Linked DNA regions of Tribolium castaneum. The protein of the gene in region 2 purifies or fractionates together with the protein of the main gene of each other region. This does not show direct contact. Links are inferred from orthologs where the notes say so. Each region holds a gene or a part of one and is shown on either strand. Other genes may lie near its edges. The genes, in order: Vamp7, Syx17 and Snap29.

Region 1 (10,038 bases), on a different chromosome or scaffold from region 2:
TAACGACCATTTGAGCCTCTCTACCATGATCCTTGATGCTATACTAAAAGTTGATATGCATTTGAGGAACCAACTCGCTGAAAACATTCTCTTAATTGGGGGTAGTGTCATGGCCCCCGGATTTAAAGCAAGACTGAAAGACGAGTTACACAAACAACTGAAATATGAGAGGTACAAGAAATTGAGAATTAAGACGTTCAAGTTTCATAGTCCACCCTGTAAGGAAAATTATGCCGCGTGGTTGGGTGGGGGCATTTATGGGGCAACGGAAGTCTTAGGCATGAAGGCCTTAACACGGGAGAAGTATTTCTTGGAGAATCGCTTACCCGATTGGCCCAATATGAGGGATAATAGGACTCTTTAATTTTTTTGTAATAAATTGTTTGTATTTTGTTTTTTTATTAATCACCTAAAAAACCATAATAAAGCATTTCAACACAAAAACATAAGTTACATAAGTTAATTAAGGGTGTATGGGTGTATTAAATACTCGGAAAAAGCCTTAACGTTGTCCCCGCCCCTGACTTCCTTCTCCAGTAAGGGTAATTTAGTGACGTGGAAGTCCTCATACAAGTCATTAATCTGATCGAGATATTTCTCCTGGATTTTGAACCTTGCTAGACACATTTTGCACGGATTTTCGTCGGGTTTTTTAAATAGCAATTGATTGACGATAATGTTGTGAGTGTCGATTTTGCATTTGGTTAGTTCCTGGACCAGTCGTTCGGTTTCATAAAGCGACAGAAATTCTGCGATGCACACGCAGACAAACGTGGTCTGGTCAGGATTTTTGAACTGCTCATTAACTTGTTTAATGACCGACAGCATTTCCTCCATTTTCGAGGAGAGAGTGTCAGCGTTAAAGTCCTGAATGCCCAAAAGGCCGCTAATTTGTGACACAAGTGGCGAAATCTTCAATTTTAATCGTAGCAACTTCCCTAAACCTTTCTCAACAACTTGAGGGAACGACAGGAGCCGTAAGGTGTGCCCTGTGGGGGCCGTATCGAACACCACGGTCGAGAAATTCATACTTTTGATTAACTTCATAACTTCTGCGTAGCTCATGGCCTCGTCTATGCCCGGGAAGGCGCCTATTATTTCCTGGATGATGCCCTTGCTCATCCTCATTGCTTCAGGCTCCCCGTCGAAGTACTCGTCCGGGAGCTCGTTAAAACCCACGTTCGGGTCTATTTCCATGGCGTACAAATTGTTAAAGCCTTTTACAAGAGTTGGCACTTTTGTGAACTTTTGGTCAAAGGCGTCCGATATATTGTGGGCCGGGTCGGTTGATATGATTAGTACAGACTCGCGGACTTTCGACAGTTGGACTGCTAAGCTACAACTGGAAAGGGGGTTACATATTGAACTCGCCGTGACGTGACAGAACTTGCCTACAAGTGGTTTTGCCCACACCGCCTTTGCCACCGACGAAAATCCATTTTAGGGTCGTCTGGTCGATCACATTCTTTAACGAGGGCTCCAGGGGCTCAAAATCTGACATTGTTGATTCTGTTTTTTGAGTTAACCTCAAACTTGACACCTCGACTCTAGTTTTTTTCTTTTTATCTACGTGGTTGAGGTGGCCACTCTGTATTCCAGTGGCGTTCGTTCATTTCGCGTAATTCAAACAATAACGTTAAATTATCATTTAACAATAATTTTGAACCACCAGTGACGAGTTTAACGAATTTAAAAAAGTGCATTAACTGCTTGCTTCGAGTAGCAGCACATTATTTTAGCATTTTACAGCACTGGTACGTTTTCAATGCCGGTTTTGAGGTTATGTCAATCAAAACAAATCATTTTGTAGCGTAAAAATGCCGGTAAATAACATTTTGTACTCGGAGAAGTACTCCGACGAGCACTACGAGTACCGGCACGTTATTTTACCCGCCGATTTGGCCAAACTCGTGCCCCGGGCCCACCTAATGACCGAAACAGAATGGCGCAATTTGGGGGTACAACAAAGCCCCAATTGGGTACATTACATGTTGCACACTCCTGAGCCACACATTTTACTGTTTAGGCGACCGCTGTCGCAAAGTAACTCAAATGGCTTGTAAGGACTTTGTGCAAATTTGTTAAGTGTGAAATAGGTTTAAGTTTTTTATTATGTAAAAAATAAATAATATGTTTTATCAAAACCCAATTTATTTCACTTGCACGTTTTTACACAAGACAAGACTTAAACAGATTAGTCTTCCACCACTGAGGCAACCTTGTAACCATCCTCTTCTTCCCAACTCGTCTGATTAATTTTTTTGTTGGGCAAAATTTTTTTAGAAAATTTCACGTAACTTGACTTTTTGGACACGCAATAACTGTCTTTCATTTTCACGGTTTTTATTTCCCCGGGTTCAACCAAACGAACTTGCGGCTTTTTTTTCTCTTTAATTTCTTTCGCAACTTTGGGTAAAATTGTCAAAACTTGCTGCCTCTTCATCGCATTTTTCGTCGTACGGCGCATTTGTTGATTACTGGGGTTTGGTTTCACGAACGATTTTATCCTCGAAGTTTTCAAAAACGTTTTACATTTTTCTTTAGGCAGTTGCTTGACTTCTGTATGCAAATCACGCTTATTTTTGCGGCTTATTTTCTCATCACCTCCAGCTCGCGAAGACGCCTCGGATTTCATTTCGCGTTTAATATCATTCCGCTGTTTCATAATCGAAGCCAAATTTTCACTAGACACACTTTTTTTCTCCTGCTTCTTAACATTTTGTGTTTTTCCATTTGGTTTAACAATCTGAACCGTTTTAATTGTAGTTTCTAGTTCCTGAAATGCTTTATTGTTCATACGGATGAGATCAGCCTCGCTTTTAAATTCGTGCATGGACACTTTTTTGCTTCCGTTTTTAGCTTTTTTAGGACAAACTGCGTTCAAAGTGCACAATTTTAAATTATCGCTGGCAATAGTTTGGAGTTTTGTGTTTGCTCCAACATTGTTAACTAACGATTCTTTTTTAGAACTCTTAATTAACGGAGGTGGAGCTGTAGTGCGCTTTGATCCCAAAGAATCCTTCGTTTTTAGGATGACATTCAACCTCATTTTAACATTTCTAGTTGTTTTGCAAGGCTTCTTATTCAAGTCCGAATTTCTTAACGACTGTACGAAACGCTGATCTGTTGTTTGTTGATTCATTCTTTCTATTTTTTCGGGTACAGCAATTTTTGGTTCATTAACAATTTGATGCTCCTCAGTTTTTTGTGGATTTTTCTGTGGAGTAGTTTTTCTCTCATCTTCTGTTATAATGGGATTTAAAGCGTCACTTTTTCCTTCTTTCTGCAGAATAGTTTTCTGATCATCTTTCTTAATCGCATCTAAAGGTGAAACATTTTTAGAAACGTCGGCTGTTTTCTTAATAAAATTATGAACACTAATAATTGTGTTAGTTTGTTTGTTGTCTCGTTCCGTTGGTACTATTTCTCGAGACTTGATCACACTTTTGTCACCTCCTTCAACAACTACCGCAACAGTGGCATTTGCGGAATGGTTCTGAACCAATTTTTTGATGTCATTGCCATTAATAATGGTATTATTGCCCTGTTCGTCTTTTTTCTGGTTTTGTATAAGCACGGGTGGAGCATTACTAACAGATTTTTTTGGAAAAATCTTGTCTTTAGACACTTCTGTCTTTTTATTATTTGCTCCTCCACTGTCCCCAACACCATCTAATTGTCCCTCCTCAAACGACAGACGTTTTTCCGTAATGTGGAACATGGAGTTACTTATCTTAACAAACTTGCCGAACTTTTCCTCTCCTTGGACTTTTTTCGAAATTGTTGCTTCCGTCGCCACAAACTGTCTCTTATTATAGAACGCACACTTAGTCATATTTGCGTAATCACTTTTCAGCGACAAAAATTTCATGGTTGTTAAGGTGTGCCAAAGTGTGTTTTCAAATTTCTTGAAACGGTCTTCATTGACTTGTATCACTTTTTTGGATTCTTCAATCTCAATCTGTGTTTTCTTCCAGATGGTTTCCAATTTTCGGTTTTCGTTCAAAACTGGCTCGGATCTCGCCCGTTTTAGTAACTTGGCGGAGTTTGTTTTCACTTCCAGGTCAATAATACGGCCCCTTAAACGCTCATTCTGTTTATTTTGTACGCTTGGTTTTGCAATTTTCTCAGCTAGTTGTTTCTTCATTCTTCTGATGTCGTTGTTCTTGTGCGACATGTCCAAAGCAGCTTCGATTCCCTCAGGTTTCGGCACTTTTAAGTTAATTTCAGCGCTGGTTTTGCTTTCGCCGTGCCTGAATCTACAACGCGTGATCTCTTCTTCGATTATTTTATTGATGAGGCTTGTGAATTGTTGCGAAGTGGCTGCGTTTGACAAAATATCAGTGCATGCGACAAGTTTCCTCTTGATTTTGTCCAGTTTTTCGCTGTTTGAGTTGATGAGGGCATCCTTCTCGAGGATGTTCACCAGTTTGATGATATTCTTGAAGAGAAACTCTTGCGATTTGAGGATTGCGTGCAAGTTGTCAATGATGTGTTCCTGACTTTTCACTTTAAACTCGTTAATTTTGGTGTGTTCACGGCGCAACCATTCAGGGACTGTGTTCAAATTTTGGTTTTTCGGCAACTCTTCCAATTTTTTATCAACGGTTTGCGGCACCAAAGCAACAGTATGTGTATGTTTCTCATTTTCTTGCTTTACCCGGTTTATGTGTTCGTACAAGTAGCGGAGATCGTTCGTCACAACGTCTCCCTCACAGGTGTATTTGCTCGAGTTGTTGATAAACTCCAACATGTTTTCAAACGGGATTATTTGGGTCGCGTTGCTGTATTCGGTCGAAATTTTTCGCTTGAAGTGCATACATTTTTTGATATATTCGTGGAGTGTCTCGGCCGCTGCTGTGGTTAAAACCTTCCCACGCAGTAACAATAAATTTAACAGGAATTCCATAATTTGCGCCATGAAATTGAAATGATTGGAATTATTTGCTCGGCCACATTTTTTGAATTCTTTGACAACGCGCCACTCGATTTTCAAAAACCACAACATCTAACAACGCTTGTAACACGTTTTATTTGATTCAAATAAATCTCACTCAAACTAAACCAAGGTGTTACTTTCGGTATCGTGGCCGAATTTTACTATGAAATTATTTTTTTGGAGAAATTTTGAAAATGCACGGACGCCACTGGTGTGGTATTTAGAACATCGACTGAGTCATCGCTGACGCATGCGCACTTTGAAACCAAACGTCAGTGTGACACATGACGTTTTTGTTATTGTTCTCAATTTTTTATAATAATACCAATTAATTCAAAGATATTTGTGTTCGTTGTGCGCGTTTTTATCATTGTTACGTGTGTGGCATTTTTGGCGTTTATGTGAAGGTGTCAACGTAAATCGGAAAAAATAAAACGTAATTACGTCCCAACTGTTTAGGATCAATTAACATTGTTTATTCATTATAGATGCCAATTCTTTATAGTGTAATATCTCGGGGAAGCACCGTTCTAGTTCGATATGCCTCTTGCGCCGGGAATTTCGCTGAAGTTACTGAACAGATCATCGGAAAAATACCACCACATGATGATAAGTTGACGTACTCGCACGGGAACTATTTGTTCCACTATGTTTGTGAAAACCAAGTTATTTACATGTGTATTACTGACGATGTAACGTGGAATGTCGCGTAAATACTTGGTTGTATTGTCATCATTGTTTCAGGAGTTTGAGAGGTCACGGGCGTTTTTATTTCTCAATGAAATTAAAAGGCGTTTCAGGTCCCAATATGGGGACTCTATCCAGACTGCGATTGCATATGCGATGAATTCTGAATTTTCCAGGGTTCTAGCCAACGAAATGAAACATTATTCCGAATCCCATGATGTGGATACAATTTCAAGAGTTCATGGAGAGTTGGATGAACTTAAAAATATTATGGTCAAGAATATAGGTGAGTGTGAATAAATATTTTGTATGTGATATTTATTACTGCGTTCATTGATAAGATAATGTGGCGATGAGGGGAGAAAGGCTGGAACTGTTAGTAAATAAAGCTGAAAATTTGAATAGTGGGGTGAGTATTTAATAAAAAGTTGTTTTTTTTTCTGAAACTTTTTTTCAGTCTGTGACGTTCAGGAAGACAAGTCGCAATCTGGCACGTTCCATGTTTTGGAAAAACGTTAAGCTTTATGTTATCATTGGTGTGATTATTACTGTGATTGTTTATTTTATTGTTTGCATGGCTTGCGGAGGGCTTCTCTGGCAGGGCTGTATTGCTAAGAAATAAAAATTTTAAGATATTTTACTTTATTCATTACTTAAACACTGTACCGTTTTATCTTTATGTAAATAAGATTCCGCAAAATTAGTGATAAAAACATTCTTTTATAATTATGTAGTTTATCTTCGTTAATTTATAATTTTGTAATTGTTAAGGTATCGTTACTTGAATAAAGCAGACAAAATATACTCTTGTTTTATTTTCCCTCTAGTCTTTTATCTAATCACGTATTAAAAAGTCTCAAAAAATTCAAGAATTAAACACAAAAAAATCAAGAATAATTGTTTTAGTTGGTAACAAATTTAAAGAATTTTCTTATTCAGCAACTGGATACGGAGAAGCTATCATTAGTCGAACCACTTAAAAAAAAGATTTAGATTTGCCAACTCGAGCATTCTTTTTGTAGATATGTCTCATATTAGGTCTTACTAAAAAAAAAATTTAGAGATTCTGCAAAAAAAGAAAAGGATTCTGTGTTAAAGAAAATCCCAACGACAAATTTAAAGCCAAAAAAAACAATAATTCAAAGAGAAAATTATTTTTTAAAACTGACAGCTGTTGCTAATAAGATCTGAAACGGACCATACTCGTAAATTGGCATGTGATAAGAATTACTGCTTTCAAAGATTGAAATACAAAAGCTATAAAAGAGATATAACATTTAAAAAACGTAAAAGTAATCTTTAAGAAAGGAAATGCAAAAAAAAGGTTTCTCACATAATAAAATGAGCTATATAATATTAGAGAAACATTGTGAGGTCCTTTTTATTTGTTAATTATGATTAATTATAATTACCTACCTATTTCCGACAGGGGCATACAGAAATTGATTTGGGGGTAATTTGGGGAGGTTAAGCTATTGAATGAAACTTTTTCTGTCGGTATGTTAAAATATTTAAAAATAAATTAGGCCTCAATTTTTTTTATTGCTAAAATAAAAAAAATATATATTTTTTTTTAAATAAAACACTCTACATTTGAATTGAAGTAACAGTGGTTTTTTATCTTTTAAATAATAATAGTCCATAATGGAATTTTAGCAAAACTATTAAAACAAAATTGACAATACCCAGAACAATGTAACCGTGGATTATTTTGAAATTTTTTAATGATTACTGGTCTGGTTTGCTGGAATTAGAATTATTATTTGCATATTAACAAAAATTCAGAAATAACCCATTATCGACTCACCCTGTACATGGTTATTAATCATAATGTTTTTTACTTGTAGTTTTTGGAAGAATTGGATCTCTTTCACAAAAACAAACTTTTTTTCAAAATATAAAAAAAACTTTAACATATAATACAACAGAGAATGTTTATCTACACTTGTTTAAATAAGTTTAAGTAATAAAAAAATCTGGACGTAAAAAAAATTTTAAACATAAAATATAATTTCTTTGTTTTACATTAATTTCAGGAATCTTCCTACGTATTTCATAGTACAGACTGATCCAGAAATACTGAGTCTGTTGGCAACACATTTGAAAGTATTTGTGCTTGTAACTTATAACATTGCAACCGAATTCGATTTTTCTTGACAATTATTTGACGTACAACCCCACAAGAATGTTAAATTGTTGTTAACTGGAAGCGTATTCCATTAGTATCCTTAAAAATTTAAGTCCAGTGTTGCCAACAGACTCAGTATTTCTGGATCAGTCTGTATATATCAGTTATAAGTATATGAGTAGTAATTTATATATTAACAATTTATTGATAAATGCTATTATTAAAAAAAACATTTATCCTTACCATTAGGCTTTTTTTATTTATAAAAAAATTAAAATTGAAGTTTGTGAGGGTCCTGGACCCCTAGACTTTCTCCCGGGATTTGCCCTTCATTTTTGAGGAAAACTTTGCAGTAACAGTGTAAATAATCCGACTTAAACAACATTGTCAAAATTTTTATTTATTTATCCACCAAAAAAAAATCATCAATATTACAATATTTAACCAAATTTTTTTTCATAATTTAATTTTTCTAGTCAACGAGAAAAAAAGAAATCTACTTGTAAAACGACTTTTAGTCTTTTTTACGACCTAGTTAATTATCAACTTCTGAGCAAAATTTTGTATCACTCGAGTCAAAATTGTGCAAATAATCTGAATAAAACAACTTGGACAAAAAGGTTTCTCTACCGCGTATCCACCAAAAAAAATCGTCAAGATCACAATAACCGCAAATTTATGTCCAAAGTATCCCATATAACGTAGAATTGCCTGAGGATTTCAGATCTGTCCTCATTTTTGTTCTCTCATTCGTAGTTTTGGAATTATTGGACGAATACTATCGATTTTAATTTTTTCATAAGCGTCCATAAAATGAACAAAAATGAATAAGTACCTACTCGTACTTATTTTGTTATCAAAAAAAAAATATTTTTTAGTTTTATTTGACCTTACATTTTCCACATCGCAAATGTTTGTTATTTTAAACTGGCAAAAATATTGTCGATTTGTTCTATTTGCGCCTCTAATAAAAGATAGGAAGGTACTATATTTGTGATCAAAACGCAATGAAAAAATACCAAAAGAACAACAAATGATCATATTTGGAAAAAAGCTGTTTTTTATTTTTCCCCATGCCCATGATGGTCCTGCCCATGTCGCAATACCAATCCCATGAATGAACTTGTACTACAAACAAGCGCGGTGTCACGGTTTGAGTAAAAGGTGAATCCACTGAAATTGCGAGTAAAATCGATGCTTCAACCCTCTGCATCCTCTCCCAACGCTTTCACCCCACAACGTCTACCCTCTAGAGGTACACACCCCCTACTCTATGTAGGATGTATAGCTATGTCGTTGACTCCGCAGCAGCTACCGCTCCAACATAAAAGAGACCCGAGCATCAGTTGAGTGTGGACGGTGTTGGAAGCGTTAAAATGTAAAATTACGCGATTCTGAGTAAAACGAGTGCTCAACACGTTCAGAAATTGTGTGATGTAGCCGCTAGCGTTGCAGTAACAACCCTTGCTACAAAAATTCAACAAAATAATTCGTAGCTCGAAAAAATTCCGTGATGTGATTATTAATCAGTAGCGGGTTCCTGCTGAAGTAGTACCATTTGGTACTACGTCACGTGGCCAAAGACAATGCTGAAATAATTTAGAATGTCTTAAGTGTGTGCGGTGAAAAAATCGATTCACAATGGATGATAGCTCGCCTGATTTGAGTCTCAAGCTGAGGCGAGGATCTAGCGATTCGAGAGATTCGTTTTACATGGATTTTGATAAAGGAATCGATTCGGATATCGAAGAAATGGCAACTACTTCCGCTGCTGACCTCGGGGACACGACTGCGGACACCACAGCAACCCCCACTGCTTTAGGGTACGGGAAAACTGAAGGCGAAAGGTACGTGATTTATTGTATCAGTTTACCCAACTTGCCTGAAGAAGCCCAAATACGGCTCATAACGGATTGAATGTCCATCCTTTACCGTATTAGGAATATCACTCCAATCAATTATTAAACGAGAATGTGAAAGAGAAAAATCGTAACGGGACATGACCCGGACATGTTTCATGTCAGTTCCAGTATAGTGCTCTAGAGATTATCATTAAAATATGACAAAGTTTTAAATTATACGACTCTGTGCGTTCTATTTGTGCTATTTACATGCTTCCGCAGTGGAAAATCTATTCACAACAAAAATAGTGGGTGTGAGAAGGGAAACATGCCACTTGTCGTGCGTGTATATTTCAAAAAAGCTTTCACACAAAAACTAAATAAGCAAGCAAAAGTGCGGAAAGGGAGGCCAATAATTTACGAGTCTCTTGGTGGTTACCGCA
Region 2 (10,705 bases):
AGAAATGCAAATATAATAACTAATAAGAAAAATATCGTCCAGAATTATAAGCCGAGAAATCAAAATTAATAGTATTAATATCTTCTTTCAGGCCTTTCACTTTGTTTTTTAAAAACAAAATTTTTCGAAAATGTCTCACAAATCAGCCGAACCTAAATAGGGTTAAAAAGTATTTTTTTTAAACAACCAAAAAATATCAAAATTTGTTAAAAAATTAATCAACTTTAGCATTTTAGGCACACTACTTAGACAAAAATGCAGTTTCAGCTTTATTTTGCTAAACCAGGCTAAAAAATCAGTAAACTGTTTTTTTTTTAATCAAAAAACAATTAGGTATTTAGCAATATTTCACAAAAAATTACCCAAAAAATCACCGAATTGGTTCAAAAATAAGTTTATTTCAGCCTTTTCGAATCATTTAAATATGGTTTTGAATAAAAAACTACTTAAGTTTTACAGAAAGATTAACCAATCACAAAATAAACCAAATAAATTCATCGAATTGAATAAAAAATGATGTAAGTTTTGTTTTTTCACGCGTGATCACTCAGACAAACGACTATTTAAAGAAAATTCCCCAAAAAACAAGTAAGTACCAAAAACATAGTTGAATTGGATTAAAAAAAACATATTATTTTAGCTTTTTTGAGAACTTTAACAAGCTTTATTTACCATAAAAGCTCAGTTTTTTCCCGCTTTTTTACACGAGATTTTGTTAAAAGACAGGAAATTAGACCAAAATTTTTTTTCTCAGCTTTTTTAGCACGTTGTCGAGCCAGAAAGTTAATGAATTTTTAAATTGATTTTCTCCATTTTTATTAATAATTATTATTCTTTAGGTATTTCGACCAAATGATCACCTAATTAATGTTAATTTTGAATGATAGAGTATAAAATCTTTAAGCAATTTTTCATCAATAAACACTCCATAAACTGATTACGAAACATGCGTCCACATAATTTCACACAGTGCACCGTGGTATCACGTTCATAATTCAAAATTAATGAAATTAAATAAATAAATGACTTAAATAAATAAAACACCCTATTTGTTTAGCTAATAATAAAGTAATGTTACACTTAAGCCTTTATTCGTCCTTTATTTCAATAAAATTACAAAAATTTTAATACTTTTCAACCCCAACAAGCAATCCATTGATGAAGTTTAACTGTATGTTTTTTTACAATGTGCTCTCGTATGATAAGCTAATAATCTTTGATAGCTACGTCCAAAAATGGAATAAACCATAGGAAAATAAAAAAAGTTTGTATTTGTAAGTAATTTCTGAAACATACAGAGTGTCCCTTTTTTGAACTCCACCACGGACCATGATGAGAATCACAGATAATATAAAGTTAAAGACTCAAGTTTGGTTTTTCTTATAGACCTCACATAAGCTTATTGTGCTTTTTAAAAGCGTTTTTATCCCTGATTACAACGATGTATCAGATGATATTTGATCAAAATGGAAAAAAGCACTTTTGCGAAGAGTGCTTTGGAAAAAACGCCAACAATTTTGTTTTCAATCAAACTAGATTTTGGAAGTTTAACTGAATTTCGATCTGGAAACTTTTCCGCATTTCCGCAAACCTTACTTACTTAAAAACTAAATCACATAATAAGCTAGAAGTTTATTCTTCGCAAAACAAAACAAGACAAAGTTATAAAAATACTGCTCGTATGTATATATTTAATTGAACTGATAAAATTTTGTTTGTTAAACTAAATTTTTGGCGTTTTTTCCAAAGCACTCTTTGAAAAAACGGTTTTTATTTAATTTTAACCAGCATATAAGATTCGACCACATCATGTGATACATCGTAATCAGAAACAAAAATACTTTTCAAAAATACAAATATCGTAGTTAAAATATCCTAATTAAAGAGGTAAAGCGTACAGGAAATCGGTTTACAAAATTGAAGAAATCAGAGAAAATCTTAAGTTAGGTAATCACTGAAAATCATTTTAGAATATTGGGAGAAATCTTGAGGAAATCTGGTGTAGAAAATTTAGGGTGCGGTTTAGCACTCGTTTCCAAATTAAAAAAAGCCTGAAACTTTTTTATCCTTATTGGATAATGAAGCTATTTTAATGTTTGTGTAATATTGTTTATTGGCAATTGTGTGTCGCATTGCGTAATATTGAGCCGTTTATAGCCCTCAGTATCCAATAATCGCCTTTCTTTATGCACCATTTGCATACAATCCAGCCACATATGCAAATCTCACAACCCGTTTTATGAATCTTTCAGTGCTTCAGTTTGAAACTGTCTTCTCGTTCTTTTCCATCCGAAACCACAAATAATATCAAGTCGTAAAAAAAGTAATTGACATGTTTACATTCCCACGCCTCGATCCCACGCACCTTAAGTATTTTTATCAAAATACATATTATCATCAATAACTTATTTACATTTTAATACGCTCGAACGCCCTCGCTCGAGCTACCGCCGATATTTACTTAGAAGATTTGTTTAAATGGATCACCAACAATGTCCACTTATTTTTATCGAGAAAACCGATCCGAACCACCAATTTACATCGCAGTAATTGAATTTCGTCGCAGTAATTTAAAGTTTGTGTGTAAATCCAGTTACCACACATCATTACCAGAGACTGTTTGTCACTTGTAAATACCCATGTAATTAAAATAAATCGCAGGCTTCGTGGGCTGATATCGATTCGCATCGAGATACCGAGGGATTTATTGAAAATTTTACGAAAAACAATGGCCGCTTTACCTCCCACAGATGTATTTATTTATGCATTTAATTCAACAAATGCCTCATAAATTCTTAAATGACAAGAAACCAACATATGGGGACATTCATGCAACATTTATACCATCATTAAAAAACTCAACTTATTCACGGAGGTCTTCTTTGTACGAGAACAGATAATAAGATTAAAAATTAATGGCGGCCGCTTGACCACAACCACTGTATTTATTTAGATTAAAAGATTAACAACAACTATTGTTAATTTGGCAACACTGACTATACACTGGTCAACATGACTTTTTTTAATACTATTCAAAACTATAAAACGCCAACGTTGCATTTTCACTCTAAATTAGCCGTTATAAATTATTCATGCACTTCAAAAAAATAATAGCTAATGTAGTTTCAATGAGAGATCTAGTCTCATCAGCTAATAGTAATAGTCTTTTGAACTTTTTTATGCAGATTCTAAAAATGTACACAAAAATTGGCCATCACGCCAGGTCTCTGAAAAAAATTATTTAATATTATAATAAAAAAATATATCAAATTTCACTGTATGGAAGCGAAGTTTTTTATTACAATGAATAAAAAAAAATGTTAACTGACAGATTATTATGTAAAATAGGGTCGTATCATTAAAAAAAACTGAGTTGTACCCCTTTTTTTAATAACCATTTTGGAAAAATCATACTAGCGTTAAACTTTGACAGTTAACAATTTTGAAAAATCAAGCAGGCTCTTCAAACATTCGGTTATCGAATGCAAAAAAATATTCACTTATCGCGAAAGAATCAAGAGCTGTGATATTTTAAATAAACCTCTGAAAATAAAAATTTTAAGAAACGAAATATATGTCAAAAACTATGACAGATAAGTATACATATATACCAATAACTTCGATAAATTTTACTCAATTTGAAAAAATGAATACAAAAATTTAATAAAAATGTGTGTTTACAATTTAAAATATCAAAGTTGGCGCGAATTTCTCATAGTTCCGAAAGCTCAGCCATTTTGAGAATAATTTAGTTGAATTAAACTCACAATTTTATTGATTTGGATTGTTTACAAACTTTTAACAAGCTGTATTAGAAATTGTTCTAACGTAGACCCTAAAAGAATCACTTGATTATGATGAAATTTTTAATAATAAAATTAATTTACTTATGTTGCCTTCTACAAAACCTGATGAGGTTGCAAAAAATGTTTTTATTATTATTATCCATTATTATGAAATAAAATTAATTTGGGTATTTGGGTATAATTTATAAAAAAAAATGTCGATCACATTTTCAATGTTGCCTCGTAATTTCAAATCGCAGGTCACTTGATGTTTGCGTTGATGAATAATTTCGAATAAATTCCTCTCTATCTGTTAATGAGTCGGCAAACCTGGGTGTTCCGACAGAATTGTAGTGGAGCGGCATCGTCACTCGCTTATTTTTCCGATAAATTAGCCATTATCGCGACTATTTCTGTTCTGCTATTATACAAGTCAGTTTTACTACGAAGAATCATGGGAATGATAATGTTTAAATTGATACAAATTCACTTAACGACTCAATCTTTTTATTTGTAATTATTTGAAAAATAAATTCCCGCTTAATTGGCCGAGTTTAATAAACCTGAACGAAGCATTTCGCATAAAATACCAAGAAAATCCGAAATCTCTAAGTGTTAAATTAAATTCGTTTTTCACTATTACCGATCCCAGAAGCTGATATTATCCTTGCCGCTGGAAATGTGTAGATGTAATCGACTTGATATAATTAGAGAGTAGTGATAATCAATTATACGAACAGATGATTACTGATTAGAATCGCCTCATACGCAAGATGTTATTAATTCCATTGAATTGAATTAAAAACTAGACGGAAATTAACAATAAAACCAACGCAAAGTTTAACGAACAAAAAAATTTGCCCCACCTTCCCCTAGCAAACTGCATTGAAGGCGGCGGGCGCGCAACGTAACACGTAGCGACATCTGATCGAAACACAGTCAAGCTTGACAGGTGCCGACTTTGCCGGCCCAAATGTCAACAAGCAAGTTTTTTGGTTAGAAACGTCAAAATTCTTTGTGCTACAACTCCATTATTTACAAATAAACACAGTAATGTGGTAACAATGTCGATTTTAAACACAAGTGTTACGAAACAACCCCTGAAACTGATCGAAGTGCCTTTAAATAAATTCAGTGAAGAAGTGATCCCTCACCACCAGAATATTTTCGAGCAGCACAAAACGCTAGTCCTCAAGGTAACATTTTGCCAAAATCGCAGTTAGGTTTATTTTTGGCACCAAATCAGAGATAACAAAGTTGTGAAAAAAATGTGATTACAGTTGATCTCGCAAAACAATGGCCAACGCGTCCGCCAAGAGGTGAAAAACAAAAAACGAATCGTAAAACAATTGAAAGACTTGATGTACGAACTGGATACTTTAAGGGCACAAGTCGAAGACTCCGATTTAGATAAATTCGACACCAAAACGCTATCATTTAGGAAAATTATCATCACCCTCATTTCGGGTTACACAGGTTGAGTTATTTTCAGACACCACTATTTTGTAAAATAAGTCAGTTTATTGGTTTAGATTTAGAGAAACGAAGTTTAGCATTAGACAACCAAAACCAGGACGATGAAGACGAGAAGAGACTCCTGCGTGAGCGGTGCCCCTTTGAGGGGGCGTCGCAAATCCAACTCCAAGACAACCTAGAGGACATCAAACTGAGACAACGACAAGAACTCCTAAACGAGGTGGAAACGGTTCAAAGAGACACTGAAGACTTGAACCAAATTTTCACCCATTTGAACCAAATGGTTGAAGGGCAAAGGGAGCAGGTCGAGCATGTTGAGGAAACGATTGAAGAGAGTAAAGAAAACGTGCAGTCGGGGTTTAAACAACTCGTCAAAGCCCACAAGTTTGTTTTGGCCCGTTTACAGCCTTCTTGATGGATGGGCAAGTGTTACTAACGTCAGTTTGACGTATTTAATGTCACTTTGACGTCAAAGCTTGTTATCTCATTATCAATTATGTATTTTTAAAGTATAATTAATTAAAAATAATGATGTGCTCTATAACTTGTGAGACGAAATGAGATATGAAATCGCAGGATTTTCTGAACTCATGAAATTCTAAAATTTTCTTCCTAACATTTTTCTTACATCTGTAAGTGTATTCGCAGCGTTTTGCTTCTAAAAAATTTTTTTAGTTTACGATAAAATTTTTGCATTGTGTTTATGAGAATTTACTGTTTTATCTGCCTGTATTTTTTGTTTACTATGCGTTAAAAATTATACAAAAACAATAATTTACAACCCGTAGTTCCATCCATCAATGAAGCGCTGTTAATTAAAATCAATTCAAGCCTGGAGTTATTTTTACAGATTGAAAACTGCCGTTTATCCAGTCACTGGTGCCTTCCTGGGGTCAATGATAGGGGGCCCTGTTGGTTTAGTGGCAGGGTTTAAAATCGGGGGTTTGACGGCTTTAGGGTGTGCGATAGCCGGGTATACAGGGGGGAAATTTTTCAAAAAAAATCACGAAGTGGAAGAAATTGAGGAGAAAAAGGAAGAGAGCGTGCAAATGGATGACAAACACGAGAAAAAGGATATATGACAGTGTGTTCTTTGTTAATTTATTTTAAATAAAAGACGTCTGACAAAGATAGGAAACTAACTATGGTAAAAAATCGAATCATGTTTATCATCTTTTCTTAGAAATAAATGTCAAATATCGTGAAATTTTTGTGTGATAATTTTTTAGGTATTACCTATTTGTAAGTGTAAATAGTTCAATAAATTGAATTCTAGAACTCGTGTTGTTTCATCAAAGATTTTTGTTCAGTTAAAACAACTTTGTCTTCAATAATAATGCTGAAACACTTATTACTCTTATTAGTATTACAGTAATAAAAACAGTTTCTTTGTATCTGCTCTCTAACTCAAGTTTTTTCATTTAAATTTGAATTTATGACTTTATAACTGTCTTTCGAGCATTTGGTCCAATATTACGATCAAATGGTTTTTTACTTTTAGCATTTTAAGTGACACTGAAAGAGTTTATTAAAATTTCCATAAGTTTTCGCGAAGTTCAAGAGAGAATTTGGAACAGAAATTAAGCGAAAAAGTAGTTAATTTTAAATTTTGTGGAAGATGTGTGTAAAATGTTCAATTATCTGTCAGTCTTTTGGTGATTTAGGGCCGGTTTATAGAAAGCTTTGTTAAAAGTTAACAACGCAAATGAATGGACCAATAACATTTGTTCAGTTTGGTCACCCATTTAATTGCGAATTAAATTAATGACGCTTCTCTAAACCGGTCCTTAGAGGGTTCAGTGATAAGAGGATTCTATGATGACTTGATGAGGGGCTGTTGTGACGTTACGACTTTTTCTTTCAAAGCGATTATCTTGCTTAATGTATATTTTCATTGCAGGAATTTTGAAAAGAACCTACTGGTATAGAACGAACGAAACTTTCAGTTTCCCGTTAAAACATAAAACACGTAAAATAAGTTGCCTCTAACAAGCATGACACTGCTTCGAGTTTTCTTAAAGACAACTGCCTACACTTTCATTACTTACCCGTTCCCGCATTTCTGGAGGGGCATTCACTGTAGGTCTATTCAGAATTTCAGTCATTTTGGCACAAAACACGCAAAAACACCGTTTTTATCACCCACAAACACGAGAAACCAAAAGGACGCGCACCGACAAGCGCACCACACGCAAATGCGTGACATCAAGGTAAAAAAACCCTATTGGTTTAAGCCGAAGGCGGGTGATTTGAAATTTGACAGCTTTTGAGGTTAATAATTTTGAAATATTGTAATTTAGATCTAAAACGATTTCAGAAACTGGTTTGGCTAAATTTGTTTCATTTTGTCAATTTCCGGCCCCAACACTCAAAATTATAGTCATCCGACGATTTTTTTAACTCAATTTTAGGATTTAAATCGACTTTTGGCTCCAGAACGAGCTAAAATTTTCTAAAATGGCGACAAATTTTGGCCAGTTTCGGCAAAAACGTCTAAACAAAATGAATTTCTTGCCGAAAAACGACCTGAATCGCTCACTAAAAATTGGGGGTGACGATTTTTTGGCTTGTTCAAGCTACTTAAAAAACACATTTCTCTCCAATTTGCCATTTCCTCATGTCATTTATTAAAAAAATAGTGTATTTATTGTTTACACGGCCAGTAAAAGAATGTGTTTCAAATAAATTACCATAAAACACCTGTTATTTCCAACCTTTGCCCCTCCATTTTTTATAGCTTATTTTCTCCATTTCTATCAGTGTAAAAGTCACCTTGACCCCGTTATATCGCCCCCCGGCTCTCCCACTTTTACTTTTATTGCCTCAGTCGCGTTCCAGCCACAACAAACAAACAATAATCGTGTGATAACACCGATAAGTGATTTTTTTAACCAAAAACAAATTGTGGTTATGTCTTCAACAGTGCAAAAGTATTTCGAAAAATACGGAATGGCCGTTCTAGAAACGATAGGTGCCGGTGTTTTAACCTACGGTTTATTCTATTTAATGGCTCTGTGTTTCGTCGATTGTGACCTAGAGCTAGCTTTCTACTCGATATTTGGGAAGTCCCCACGTATGTGAATTATTTATTAACTAAACTGAGACCAGTGACAATTTTCATGAACATTTTTCAGGAAAACTGAAGGGCAAAGTGGTCTTCATCACAGGCGCCTCCAGCGGCATTGGCGAACACACGGCCAAAGCCCTAGCCAAACACGGCGTCCGCCTAGTGCTCACCGCTCGACGCCAAAGCGAATTAGAACGCGTTAAAATTGAATGCCTCCACCTATCCAAAAACCAACTCTCTGATAAAGACATCCTGGTGATCCCCTTCGACATCACCGACTTGTCCGCCCACAAGCGGGTCTTCCAGCAGGCCTTGAACCACTTCGGCACCGTGCATGTCCTGGTGAACAACGCGGGGCGCTCGCAGAGGGCCCTCTTCGAGTACATTGACATGTCCGTCGACAAGCAAATGTTCGACTTGAACGTGTTCGCAGTCGTCAATTTGACCAGAATTGCAATCAACCATTTCAACGAGAAGGGCTCTGGTCATGTCGCTGTGGTCTCGAGTCTTGCGGGGGTTTTCGGAGCCCCCTATTCGGCCACTTACACGGCCACCAAACACGCAATTCATGTAAAATTACAGTTTCGTGTATTTTGTGCCTGACTGTGGTTTTGTAGGGATACTTTGATGCCCTCAGGATTGAGAAAATGGACAAAAATATCGCAGTGACGCTCCTATGTCCTGGGCCCACTCTGACTAATTTTTTACAGGAGAGCTTCACAGAACGAGACGGTCAGGTATAAATTTTTTAGAATTGTATTCAAAAACGAGTGAAATAACACCAATTTATGGTGATTTCCTGCTTGTTTTTATTTCAACAAAAACGTCATTAATTTGATAGGCTCACTTCGTTCCATAGTGCCGTTCTTATTATAATGGAACTCGGTTACAACGAACACCCAAAGGACTTCGGAAAGCGAGGTTCATTTGTACGTTAAAACCGAACCAACTTGTTACTATAATATAGGACTTTAAAAGGAGACATTCAATTTTATTCGTTATATCCGGGTTCATTATAACTGAGTTCCACTGTATTTTAAACAGCTTCTACATTCCCTCTTGGATTCTATCTTAATTTTTTCAAAATTCTTAGCTACCTTCGTTTAAAATGTATCCAGATTATTTTCTAGCATTGATTCTGTGCTTATCGCTATTTTTTTTTTAAATTCTTCACTTGAAGCTGTTTCTAGCTCTGAAATCTGGAGCCTTTTGTATTATTTTAGAAACTCATCTTTAAATTCTTTCTCTTACAGATTACTTTGTCATCTTTTCAAAAACCTTCGATAGTTCCATTTAGAATTTTTTAGATTATGTTTCTGTACTCTTCTTTAGATTCTCCTATAGCATTATTACTTCGTAAACTGTATTCAAAAATTATTTTTCAAACATTTTTTCCATTTGCCATTTTAAATTCCACTCTTGCCGTTTATTATTCTATTATTCTCTGAATTTTAAATTTACTTTTTAACGTATGGTTAATAATTTAATATGAAAGTATGAATGTATGAAAGGTTTTTTATCTCTTTTTACATAAGCCGTGACTTCGTGAAAAATGTGTAGGTATTTGTTGAATTTGGACATGATTTTGTATAGAATTAACAATTCAGAGTTAGCAGCAATTGATGTTCTTTACTTTGAATCAATGTAATGAAAATTATTTTAATTTATTATTTTTCAATGTTAACCGAAAATTTGGAAAATATTCTGTTGACATCGTCATAACCGATGTTACCAGCCCCTTATTATAAAGTCACATAAATAAATAGTTACAGGGTCCCTCACAACGACAATCTGCATAGTTACAATTTCTTTTTTTTTTGTAAATATCCATTAACCATCCATTAACATTTGCATATTTTAATTTTAGACAAATTAATTAACAATGAACTGTGCAATGAATTATGTGGGCCCCTCTAATTGTAATTTATTTCATTTTTTGAGCAGAAATACGGGATTCCGGCCGATAGGAAAGACAGGAGAATGACAGGGGAGAGGTGTGGGCAATTGTGTGCCATTGCGTTGGCCAATAGGACGCAAGAATCCTGGATGGGGCTCTTTCCCATGATGCCTTTCGTCTACACTGCTGTATACTTCCCAACAATTTCAAAAATGTACACAAAAAAATTATTATTTGGCATTCGATTGATTTGTGTGCTTTCAGGGCTTTGGGTCTATTGGGGCCCCGCCGACTATTCAAAATGAGAGACAGCAAAGATATTCAGTTTGATCAGGTAGAAAATATCGTCTAAGGGCGCCACATGGCCTTGCATTGTTGTTTTTATTGTTTGTTTAAGTATTATTGTGCTTAATAGAGTGTAACATGCAAAAATGTGTCTGATTGCTTAATTACTTATTTCGTTGTTAATTTATTGTTATA
Region 3 (9,844 bases), on a different chromosome or scaffold from region 2:
GATTTTGTGGGGTTTCGAACTTTCGGTCCGTTTCCTCGAAATTTCAATAATCACCCTTTTGGCAATCGTGGTGAGCTTGAAAATGTCGCAACGCGAGAAGCAAACCGGGGGATTCCCCCTCTTCCCGTGCACGACCAGCGACTCAAGCACTGATAACATATACCCTAACAATTGTAATACCAACCCCAACGCGCTTAACTACAGCCGGAACGAGATGATTATGGACAACATACCAACCGAACCAGTCGAACGTCCCAATTTGTTAAAAACCGCCTTTCAAAACGACTCCTTCGATAAGAAATCAACCCTAGAACGTTACCATTCCGATTCGGAACGCACTAGCAATTTCGACCGTTTCGAACGCCCGAATTGGTCCGATCGGTTCGATTCGCGTCCGAATAACCACGAGGCGAACTTCGGCCGAAGTTCGGCGCGGTTGAATTCGGCAAAGTACTACACGAAGCCGAAGTATGACGATGAAGGCGGGGCGCAAGAACGTAATATCTATAGCGAACCGGTGGATAATCACCAGTACGAAAGGACGCGGCATGATTTCGAACGCGGGGATTTCGATAGAAGGAGTCGGAATTCGTCGAATACGTCCGGGAGGAGATCGACTGGTCGGACGCGTAAAAACCATGCTCGACCCCATCTCGGGGTGCAAACCTTGCCGAACCACCAGGATTCCATGCTGGTGGACGAACAAGGTTTCGTCAGATTTAGGCACATGCAGGAGGAGAAACCGAGTCAGGGGCATTTTAGTGATGCGTGAAATTCGGGGCTGAGTCGGACTAAAGGGTAGTGAGCCGAGGGGGCGAATTGCAATTAGAAAAAAAGTACAAATTTCGATACATTTTGATGATTTTTGGAGTTGTCAGTGCAAAAAATGGATGCCGGGTTAAATTGGGCTGTGGCGCCCAACGTGGGGCCACGACCAACTAACCAAATCTTTGAGAGAAAACGAGTTTTAAGCTGCAATTATGGTTAAACACACTCATGATGGCATGTCTACTTAATTTTATTGAAGAAATTTGGAGTGAAACACTTGAAAGACATTAAACAACGACCTAACTATACCTAGTTATTTATTGATAATACTCATTTCGTGACGTTTGGAAGCGCAGGGTACTAGATAGCCCCGTTTCGTGTGATTTTAGCAATAATTCCGTTAATTAGAGCTCACTACCCCCGCCGCCCCCGATAGACGGTTCGGCCTAATCAAAACCCACTTTCGCTTTTGACGTTTTAAAAAACTTAGCCATGACAGTCACACGTGTGAACGCGGTCCCTCACGAGGACAAACCTAATAAAGTAAAAATCCACTAATTGTTAGATTATAGTGTATGTACGATTATAATACTTTACGATGATAAAGTAGCAGTGTATAAAAATGAATTTGCAAAAGTGTACATATTTATAATGTTAAGTGACTATATATAATTTTAATTTTTTATATAATTTTTGATAAGATACAGGGTGTTCGTGTTGACAACAAACAAAAAGAACGGCAGCTACTATGACCCGATTTTCTCAAAACTCTTCTCCGAATTGTTTCGTCCCCTGTATATTTTTAGTTAGTTTAGATGAACGGACTGAATTCATGTTATTTATTATCGTTCGGGCTAAATACACGAGAAATTACCGTCCTAATGACCAAAATAGGCGGCGGAAAAATCGCTCGCCAGAGGGCGTCTTTTCCGGCGACGTGTCACAAATATGTAGATGTGTTTTGTTTGTATATATGTATCTAAGCCAATATTTAGCCTTGCCATTTTTAACTGCTGGGTTTTTTAATAACGTAGTAAGAGTTAAGGAAGAAGAATTATTATTTTTGTACATTATGTTCAGTATTATTTTTTTACGTTCACAGTATTTATTATTAGGTTTCCTTTCTCACAAAAGACTTGATTTTTATACATTCCTCGTTACTTGCCACTCTTTACTTTATAATGTTCCTAAGTGACGTACTTATACCAGTAATTCTGACGTTTTTTGCCAGTATTTCTATAACGCCTCTACTTGTATTAGTATAGAGAGAATAACATTTTTTGATTTTTGGTGTCACACAAATGTTATTTTAAACAAATAAACTACAAGATATAAGTGAATCTGGTGATTTTCCAAATGTACAAAACTGATGAAAAATACATTTCGTAAAGTCATCGCTTTATTTATACGAATCGACTTCTATTGTATTATATTATTGTAAAATATAAACTATGTCTAAGCTTGGATTCAATTAATCCAATCCCTTTCACTTAATCCTGCCAGTTTATGTAACTAATTATACAAAGGTGCATTGTGGGTTGCTTTACATTAATAGCTGAAATAATTAAACGTAATTACACTGACATGAACAGTTAAAATCGTTGTTGTGTGTGTTTTACAAAACAGACAATGTCGGAGGCTTTGAATAAGAAAAGCAAACAATGAAACGATTGCTATTATTCCACGTAATTACAGCTGAATACGTCGATATTTCAGCGTATAGGCAACCAGTTGGGCGAATAGATTCGTATCCCAAGTAGGCAACGTTTTGGAAAATTTATTCCGGCCATAATATCACACGTCGTCGCCGTTAAAGTCGGCGAAATTTGCAAGTCGCGATAAAGATCATCGATTTAAAGCATAGGTTAATCCGTTCCATTTCGTTATCGGTCACGTTCCGAAACAAATGGACGAATACGTTTCGAAAATCATAAAGCGCCATCGTTGTGTCGTGGCTCTAAGTTTGATAAATGCGAGGATCTGGACGGAGAATTAATGGATGTGTCACGGCTTCGCCTTAAAAAGGGTGCAATTTGTTTTTTTCCTCATGTCTAGAGGTGGTTTTCCCAAAGAAAACGAAGAAAAATTGAAATGAAATTCTGTGATTGCGTAACCACGCCCACTTCGGGCCGGGAAATTTAAAAAATTTGATTTTCTGCCACTTTCATTAATAATTGACGACCTCGGGGGTTTACCCAAATCTGCGGAATTTATGTACGAGTTGTACGTCTTTGACCCGAAAAGCGATCCGATTACGGGAATGCCTGATTATTGCTATTATTACCCGACTAAATGAATTTATGGCCGGAGGATAACCTTTTTTGTTCCAAGGGAAGCGAAGAAAAGATCCGGAGGGTGATTTATTGGCCCTATAGTATTGTTGGTTGCATAACCAATAACGAACGTAGCGAGTGCGCCAATTGTATTACTTTCAGTAAAATGTTTCTGGTAATATTGACAATTGCAAACATTATTTGAATAACCCGATTTAATCCACAATGTACTACCGATTGCTGTTTTTATTGTGTATTGTTTTTTGTTGTAATTAATTCCAATCGGCAAAGCTCGTCCAAATGTTAAATAAACAATGTGTTTGTTGATTATTTTATCTGATATTAACGAATTAGCGCTCGAACGGAACTCTGCAGCAGACATTAATTATTTGCAGTTTATAAATTATAATAATGAGGGAGGATAACATGTAATTATTTACTAGTTTCAAATTTATTTTGGGTAAATAGAAATATATTGATGGGCGTGGCCAATTCAAGACCAGTCGTACCAACGCAAATTAAGTCAGGCATGAGATCATTCCAGTATCATCTTCACGGCCTTGACTTTTCTCCGTTTAAGAATAAATTCATCGCAAAATGAAAAAGAAATCACAAACACGTTTGTGTGTCCGTGTGTTGTTTCTCAGTCACGAGATTGTGTGAGTGACGCAATTTACCAACTTTCACTCAAAACGCAAATCTGATTTTAGTCATTTTGCCACAACGACAAGAAGTGCATCGGTGTGTTTGACAAAAAAAACGCAATACAATGAATAGAACGGTGAGTTTTTGCCGAATTTTTGTGAAATCTCAAGCCTCCGGCAATCGCCTTGTCCCACTTTCATTCTCTATTCATTCCCAAGACGATTAATCAAAAGTTATTGGCGTAAATATTTCCCAAAGTTTAGGCGCATTCTAAATTTGGGGAAATTGAGTTGCGTGATTTAGTGATTTACGATTGGTGACACTGTTAGTTATCACGTTTCAACGCTGCCAACTTAGAAATTTACAATGACGACGTCATAAAGTTTGGATTAATGACCGAGGCCGCCTCGATTAGAAATGTCGCGTATGTTTACTACCAACAGTCATGTGAATCCATTCGGGGGAATTACCGGATTAATAATTATTAGCCCAGTTGGCTGAGACGTAAACAATTGCCACTAATCGTAAACCTCACGAAAAATAAACCGTTTTATTGTTACGACTCCCCTAAACCGGGCTTGATATTTTAATTAAAAGTCCTGCCAACCCCACAATTTGATTGTTAAAATCCCCAGTTTTTGGCCCTGTTGGCGCTGACCTCGGGGGCGGCGTGCGACGTCGCCCACTTGGTGCACGTCCAGCAAACCGAGCCGTCAACACCGCCGCCGCCCCCAAAGCCGTACGCTTTTGGTTACGCCGCCGGTCGTTTCCCCGGCCACATCGACCGGACGCATTCGGAGGTTTCCGACGGTTCGGGGGTGGTCCAAGGCTCGTACTCGTATGTGGATCCCCGGTTTAAGATCCGCACTGTTGAGTACACGGCCGATAAGAACGGCTTTCACCCGGTTTTGAATTTCGCGCCAGAGCCGCTCCCATCCGACACGCCGGTGGTGGCGGCGGCCAAGCACCGCCATCTCGTGCAGTTCGCAAACATCGCCAACGCCAGGCATGCCGCCCCCGGGACGGTCGTGGTGCCAGTCGACTCGGTGGCGGTGAGCCGCGCCAAGGACAAGCATTTCAAGCTGTTCCAGAAAATCGCAGAGGAGCATGCCAGGCTGGCGGCGGCGCAGGAGGCGCAAGGGGGCACCGAAAAGCCCATTTATTGAATTGTTTAATTGCGAATAAAGTTTTTTGAGCAAGGTGTATTGTTGGTTGCCTACACTAACTGTGATGTTACTAACTCAAGCAAGAAAATCCCCACGTCAGTGTCAATAACAAATGTCAAAATTGCAACTTTTGTGTTTTTATTTATTGTGATATTCCGCCCCCCAAATGTCGAATCCCTACGCCAGGTCCACTAACCCGTTCGAGAACGACGACGACGTCGACGATGAGCTGTTTTTGCGCAACTCGCGTCGGTCGCAAGGGGGCCCCCAGGCGTCTTTCGACGACCAGTTGCAGTCCTTCCAGGAGCGCAAACGGGCCATCGAAGACCGCACCATCAACAGCACGGAGAAAAGTTTGAGTATTTTGCGCGATTCCGAACAAATTGGCATCGCCACAGCCGAAGAATTGATGAGGCAAAGAGAGAAGTTGGAGAAAACTGATAAGCAATTGGATGAAATCAACGCGACTTTGAGATTCTCCCAGAAGCATATCAACGGGATCAAGTCGGTTTTCAACAGTTTGAAGAACTACATGGCGGGGAAAAACGACGCAAGTCCGAGCCCCCCGTCAAAGACAACTAAATCAGAGTCTGAAGATTTGCACAAAGAGTTCGAGCAAAAGTTGTCGACTTATGACCGCTTCGAGAATCATCCCTCAACCAGGTTGAAAAACTTGGATTATAATAATGCGGGGCAAACGTCAGGGAGTAAGGATTTTAGTGCGAAACTGGACGCCAATTTGCAAGAAATGTGTTCAAATATATCACGCTTGAAAAATTTAGCCACGGATTTGTCGTTCGAGATTGACTCGCAAAATGACTTGATTAGCACCATTACTGATAAGGCGGAGACGGCTGATATGACCATCACCAAGCAGAACAAAGATATGATGAGAATATTGAAAAAATCCTAGTGTTTTTAGTTTTTAAAGCGGAAATCAAAATGTTGCACTTTTCTGTCTTGTAATTGATTGTAATACTCTCTGTTTAGTTGATTAGTAATTATTTGTATATTTGGAGCGTAAATGGATCTATCGATTGTTGTTATGATTGCATTATTATGTGAATAAATTCTTTAATAATGAACTGAACTGATTTAAACGCCCCCCCTTCCCACAGTGTTCTGTTTTACCGACATTGTCACACCACACTGACAGCCTATTCTCTGCTGACAGCCACGGGTATGAAACTGGGGTTGCATAAGTGGAAACACGAAAGTATGTGGGCCACCTCCTAGGGTCGGGGAAAGAGGGGTCAAACAGCGGGTGTATAGCGCGTGCTCCAAGCTTCTTTTCCCAAACAGCCAATAAGATTCGTTTGCGCAAGAGCAATTGTGTTTCAATTGTTTCTCACTGTTGTTTTTTCGTGAATAAGGGTCAGAAAAGGAGTTCCAGGGGATGTAAGTAAAAATAAAACTGATTTGTAACTGTATTAATTCAGTTTTGATGTATTTTTAGAGACGAATAACGTTCTCATGGGGTGAAGTGACGAGCAGGACTTAAATTAAATTAACAAAGTTATGTTGTTCCTCGAAAGAAGTACTGCTGCAAGTATCCAGGCTGCAACAACTGGTACTATACATCAACACTCCAGAGGGCTTTGTGAACAAGCACTTTTTTGTGTTTCCAAAAGACCCTACGCAGCATCAACAATGGAGGAACATTTGCAAGATAAGTTCCAAAAATTCAGATTTTTTTAGAATTTGTGAGGATCATTTTGACGAATCTGCTTTTGTGAATGAGAGGAAAGATCGTCTAAATTTCAGAGCAGTACACTCGTTCCCACTGAACCATCTGACATTCATTTACTTGAGGATCTGCCACATCCAGATCAACAAAGCAAAATATTTGAAGATCCTTCTTCATCTGCTTTGTCTGAGGAAAATGTAAATGTTGTTGGTTCTTTGTCTGTTGAATCACCTTCAACGTCATCTTTTGTAAATTTGGCATATAATGAATTATGCAGTTCCTCTCATTCGCAAAGTAGTGAAGTAATAAACAATTCAGATTCCACCATTTCGAACAGCAGCTGTTTAGAGAATCATAATGAAACCTCATTTAATGTAAACAAATTCGCGTTTCTGGATAATCAAGGTAGAGACGGTATTCTAACTAAAATTGGCTGTTCTTCCAAAGATTTGACACCGCGAAAAGAGCTGATGTACAAAGCTCACCGAAACATTCAGTCGAGGTTGTGTAGATTGAGCAAAACATTAGAAAAGGAAAAGGGTAAGGTGAAGACTTTGCAAAAATTGTACGATGCCGGAAAATTCGAGTTCATCACCGAAAATTTGAATGAAGTCACTAAGGCTTTCATTAATTCACAATTGCGAAATGTTTCCTGTCAACCGACCGCGCGCAGATGGACAGACGAGGATAAAGCTTTTGCTTTATCTTTGTACAAGAGAAGTCCGAGATTGTATAAGTATTTGCAAGTCCATTTTCAATTACCCTCTTCCCGCACACTGAAAGCCATTTTAGCTAAGATTCAGTTCGATACTGGTATTAATCCAGGTATTTTGGAACACCTGAAAAATCACGTCTCAAAAATGAAACATGCAGATCGTTATTGTTTGATGAGATGTCGGTTTGTCAAGGATTTCATTATGAACGAGCTAAACAGTGGTTACGAGGACATGGGCTCCTTGGGTCGCACTAACAAAGCAGTCAACCATGCTCTTGTTTTTATGATCCGAAGGTTGAGACTCCAGTGGAAACAAGTAATTGCTTATTACTTTACGGCAAATACAGTTAGCGCGAACAATCTAAAGTTTCTTATTGAAGAAATAATTTCACAACTTCAGAACATCGGTTTAACGGTAGTCGCTACTGTTTGTGATCAGGGCACTACAAATGTTTCCGCGTTGAATCAGCTTTATGCCAAACAACATCCCAGGCAAGGTTCATATTATTTCTTCATTAATAATCAGCCGATTGTTACAATTTTCGACGTGTCGCATCTTTTAAAAAACACGCGAAATGCATTATTGAAATGCAAAATTCAACAAAAAACTTTTAAATCGTTGCCCAAATTAAAGAAGGAGTATTTTAATTTCAAAGACTCTTACATGAAAATGAAGGTGAAGGTAGCCGCTGCACAGCTTAGCAGCTCTGTGGCTGCTGCTATCGAAACCTTCGTCTCTTTTGCACATATTCTGCCGTCTGAAGCCATTCATACGGCTGAATTTGTGCAGAAGGTCGACAACATGTTAGAAGAGCGCAAAAAAATCATCAAACTCACGTACGAAATGGATCCGAGTTTTGGAAAATCGCCAGAAATCGTCAGTTTGATCCGAAAAACCGAGATTAAAATCACAGCTGCAAATTTTTTTGTTTTGGACAAATCAACAATTTTGGACGTTTTGGAAACTATAGTGGCTTTCGTCATCGTTCTGGCACAATTCAGGACTTGAAAAAATAATACTCTCGACTGTATAATTTTTTTTTAATAAATAATTATTTTTTCCCACTCGTTTGAACAAACCCATAAAACAACCCATTTTCGTTCTTCAAAAGTTGGGCAGGTGGGCCAAACTCGGCCACCGTCCCAGCATCCATCACCAGGATCTTGTCCGAGTCCATGATGGTGTTCAACCGATGGGCGATGGTCAGAACCGTACAATTCCGAAACTTCCTCCTTACAACTTTCTGGATAACTTCGTCGGTTTTCAAGTCAACATTTGCGGTCGCTTCGTCCAAAACTATGATTTTTGAGTTGCGCAAAATGGCCCGGACTAGGCACAAAAGTTGCCTCTGGCCCACACTAACATTAGCCCCGCCCTCCAAAATCGTAGTTTCAAGACCTTGCGCCCAATTCGTCACCATTTCCTTAAGTTCAACCTCTTCAAGTGACGACCACAACTGACTGTCGCTGAATTGCTCAAACGGGTCCAGATTTTGGCGCAAAGAGCCCAAAAAAAGCACCGGATCTTGTGGAATTATCGCGATTTTTGAGCGCAAAATCGACAATGGGAGCGTTTTAGTGTCAGCACCGTCGATCAAAACAGTACCATCGAAGTGAAACAGGCGGAAAAGTACCGAAATTAAACTACTTTTGCCAGCGCCTGTCCGGCCAACAATTCCGATTTTCTCGCCTGGGTTGATGTTGAATGTGACGCTTTTGAGTACCGTTGTGTTGCTTAGAGGGTACTTCATGGTCACGTCGTCGAAGAGGATGCGACCATTGTTGGGCCACAAGTCCGATGGTACCGTGGTACCATCGTCTTTTTCGGGCTCCAGTTCCGCGTATTCGACCACACGTTCAACTGAAGTCATCTGGGAGTCGAGTTCGCTCCAGGTTTTGGTACCGTATTGGATTAAGCCCACCAGGGAGGTGGACTGGGTTATGGCCAAGCCAATGTAGCCAACCCACATTTCTGCAAAAAATTTACAGAAATTATTGTGAAATAATCGACAGTTTTTCAATTTTTTTGAAACTAAAATTTACAATTTTTTTATTTCTTTACTTTTTTTTGTTTCAGTTTTGTAGTTGAATGTCTTTTAGTTTTTTAATTTCTTGGTTTCTCAATATTTTCAGTTATCTAATTTTTTAGTTTCTCATTGTTCCAGGTTCTTTGTTTCCAGTTCTCTACATTGTTCATTTTTTTTAGCTTTTAATTCTTTCATTGTCTTAACTACTTTGAATGTCGGTTTCTCGTCAGATCAGACGAGTTAAATACCTTTATATCATTTTCCGAAAAAGTGCGTACTTTCTTTAGAAATTTTTATTAACCCATCTATTGAGAACCACTGTGTGGCTTATGGAAGTTTATTATCAGTTATTTTTTTTATTAAGCAAACTGAAGATGGTGGATCAGGGGCGTTTTAAGAATTTTTCAGGGTCCCCACGATGCAACCGCAGCCTGTGCCCCCCACGGCTGCATCACACTGGCCAGCGCTGAGCCAGCGCTACCCCCAGCAACAACAGGAGCCCCCCAAACCCCAAGGAACGATGACAACGGCCGAGACCCTCGCGCAGCTCTCACAGGCGTGCA

What was found.
Region 1: the proteins of Syx17 (region 2) and Vamp7 purify together in Drosophila melanogaster (affinity purification with western blotting; 4 studies listed by BioGRID, with this or other methods). This does not show direct contact. The link is inferred for Tribolium castaneum from reciprocal best matches to the Drosophila melanogaster genes Syx17 and Vamp7.
Region 3: the proteins of Syx17 (region 2) and Snap29 purify together in Drosophila melanogaster (affinity purification with western blotting; 4 studies listed by BioGRID, with this or other methods). This does not show direct contact. The link is inferred for Tribolium castaneum from reciprocal best matches to the Drosophila melanogaster genes Syx17 and Snap29.

What each region holds. Positions count from the first base shown.
Region 1 is NC_087402.1:8,577,560-8,587,597, forward strand, and holds Vamp7 (vesicle-associated membrane protein 7), read left to right. Parts: upstream 1-5,183; 5' UTR 5,184-5,375; intron 5,376-5,427; coding exon 5,428-5,631; intron 5,632-5,683; coding exon 5,684-5,912; intron 5,913-5,967; coding exon 5,968-6,035; intron 6,036-6,083; coding exon 6,084-6,248; 3' UTR 6,249-6,261; downstream 6,262-10,038. Other genes in the region: Arp10 (actin-related protein 10), read left to right, coding at 1-364; ATPase ASNA1 homolog, read right to left, coding at 460-1,342, 1,392-1,501; cyclin-dependent kinases regulatory subunit, read left to right, coding at 1,818-2,063; uncharacterized protein LOC103312779, read right to left, coding at 2,195-4,909; proton channel OtopLc, read left to right, coding at 9,396-9,601.
Region 2 is NC_087394.1:25,880,156-25,890,860, reverse strand, and holds Syx17 (syntaxin-17), read left to right. Parts: upstream 1-4,743; 5' UTR 4,744-4,849; coding exon 4,850-4,981; intron 4,982-5,065; coding exon 5,066-5,261; intron 5,262-5,317; coding exon 5,318-5,645; intron 5,646-6,111; coding exon 6,112-6,343; 3' UTR 6,344-6,539; downstream 6,540-10,705. Other genes in the region: dehydrogenase/reductase SDR family member 7, read left to right, coding at 8,172-8,334, 8,396-8,898, 8,946-9,065, 10,273-10,439, 10,490-10,559.
Region 3 is NC_087401.1:16,863,058-16,872,901, forward strand, and holds Snap29 (synaptosomal-associated protein 29), read left to right. Parts: upstream 1-4,924; 5' UTR 4,925-5,018; coding exon 5,019-5,765; 3' UTR 5,766-5,937; downstream 5,938-9,844. Other genes in the region: uncharacterized protein LOC100142142, read left to right, coding at 1-772; larval cuticle protein A2B, read left to right, coding at 3,811-3,822, 4,322-4,852; uncharacterized protein LOC135266932, read left to right, coding at 7,010-8,263.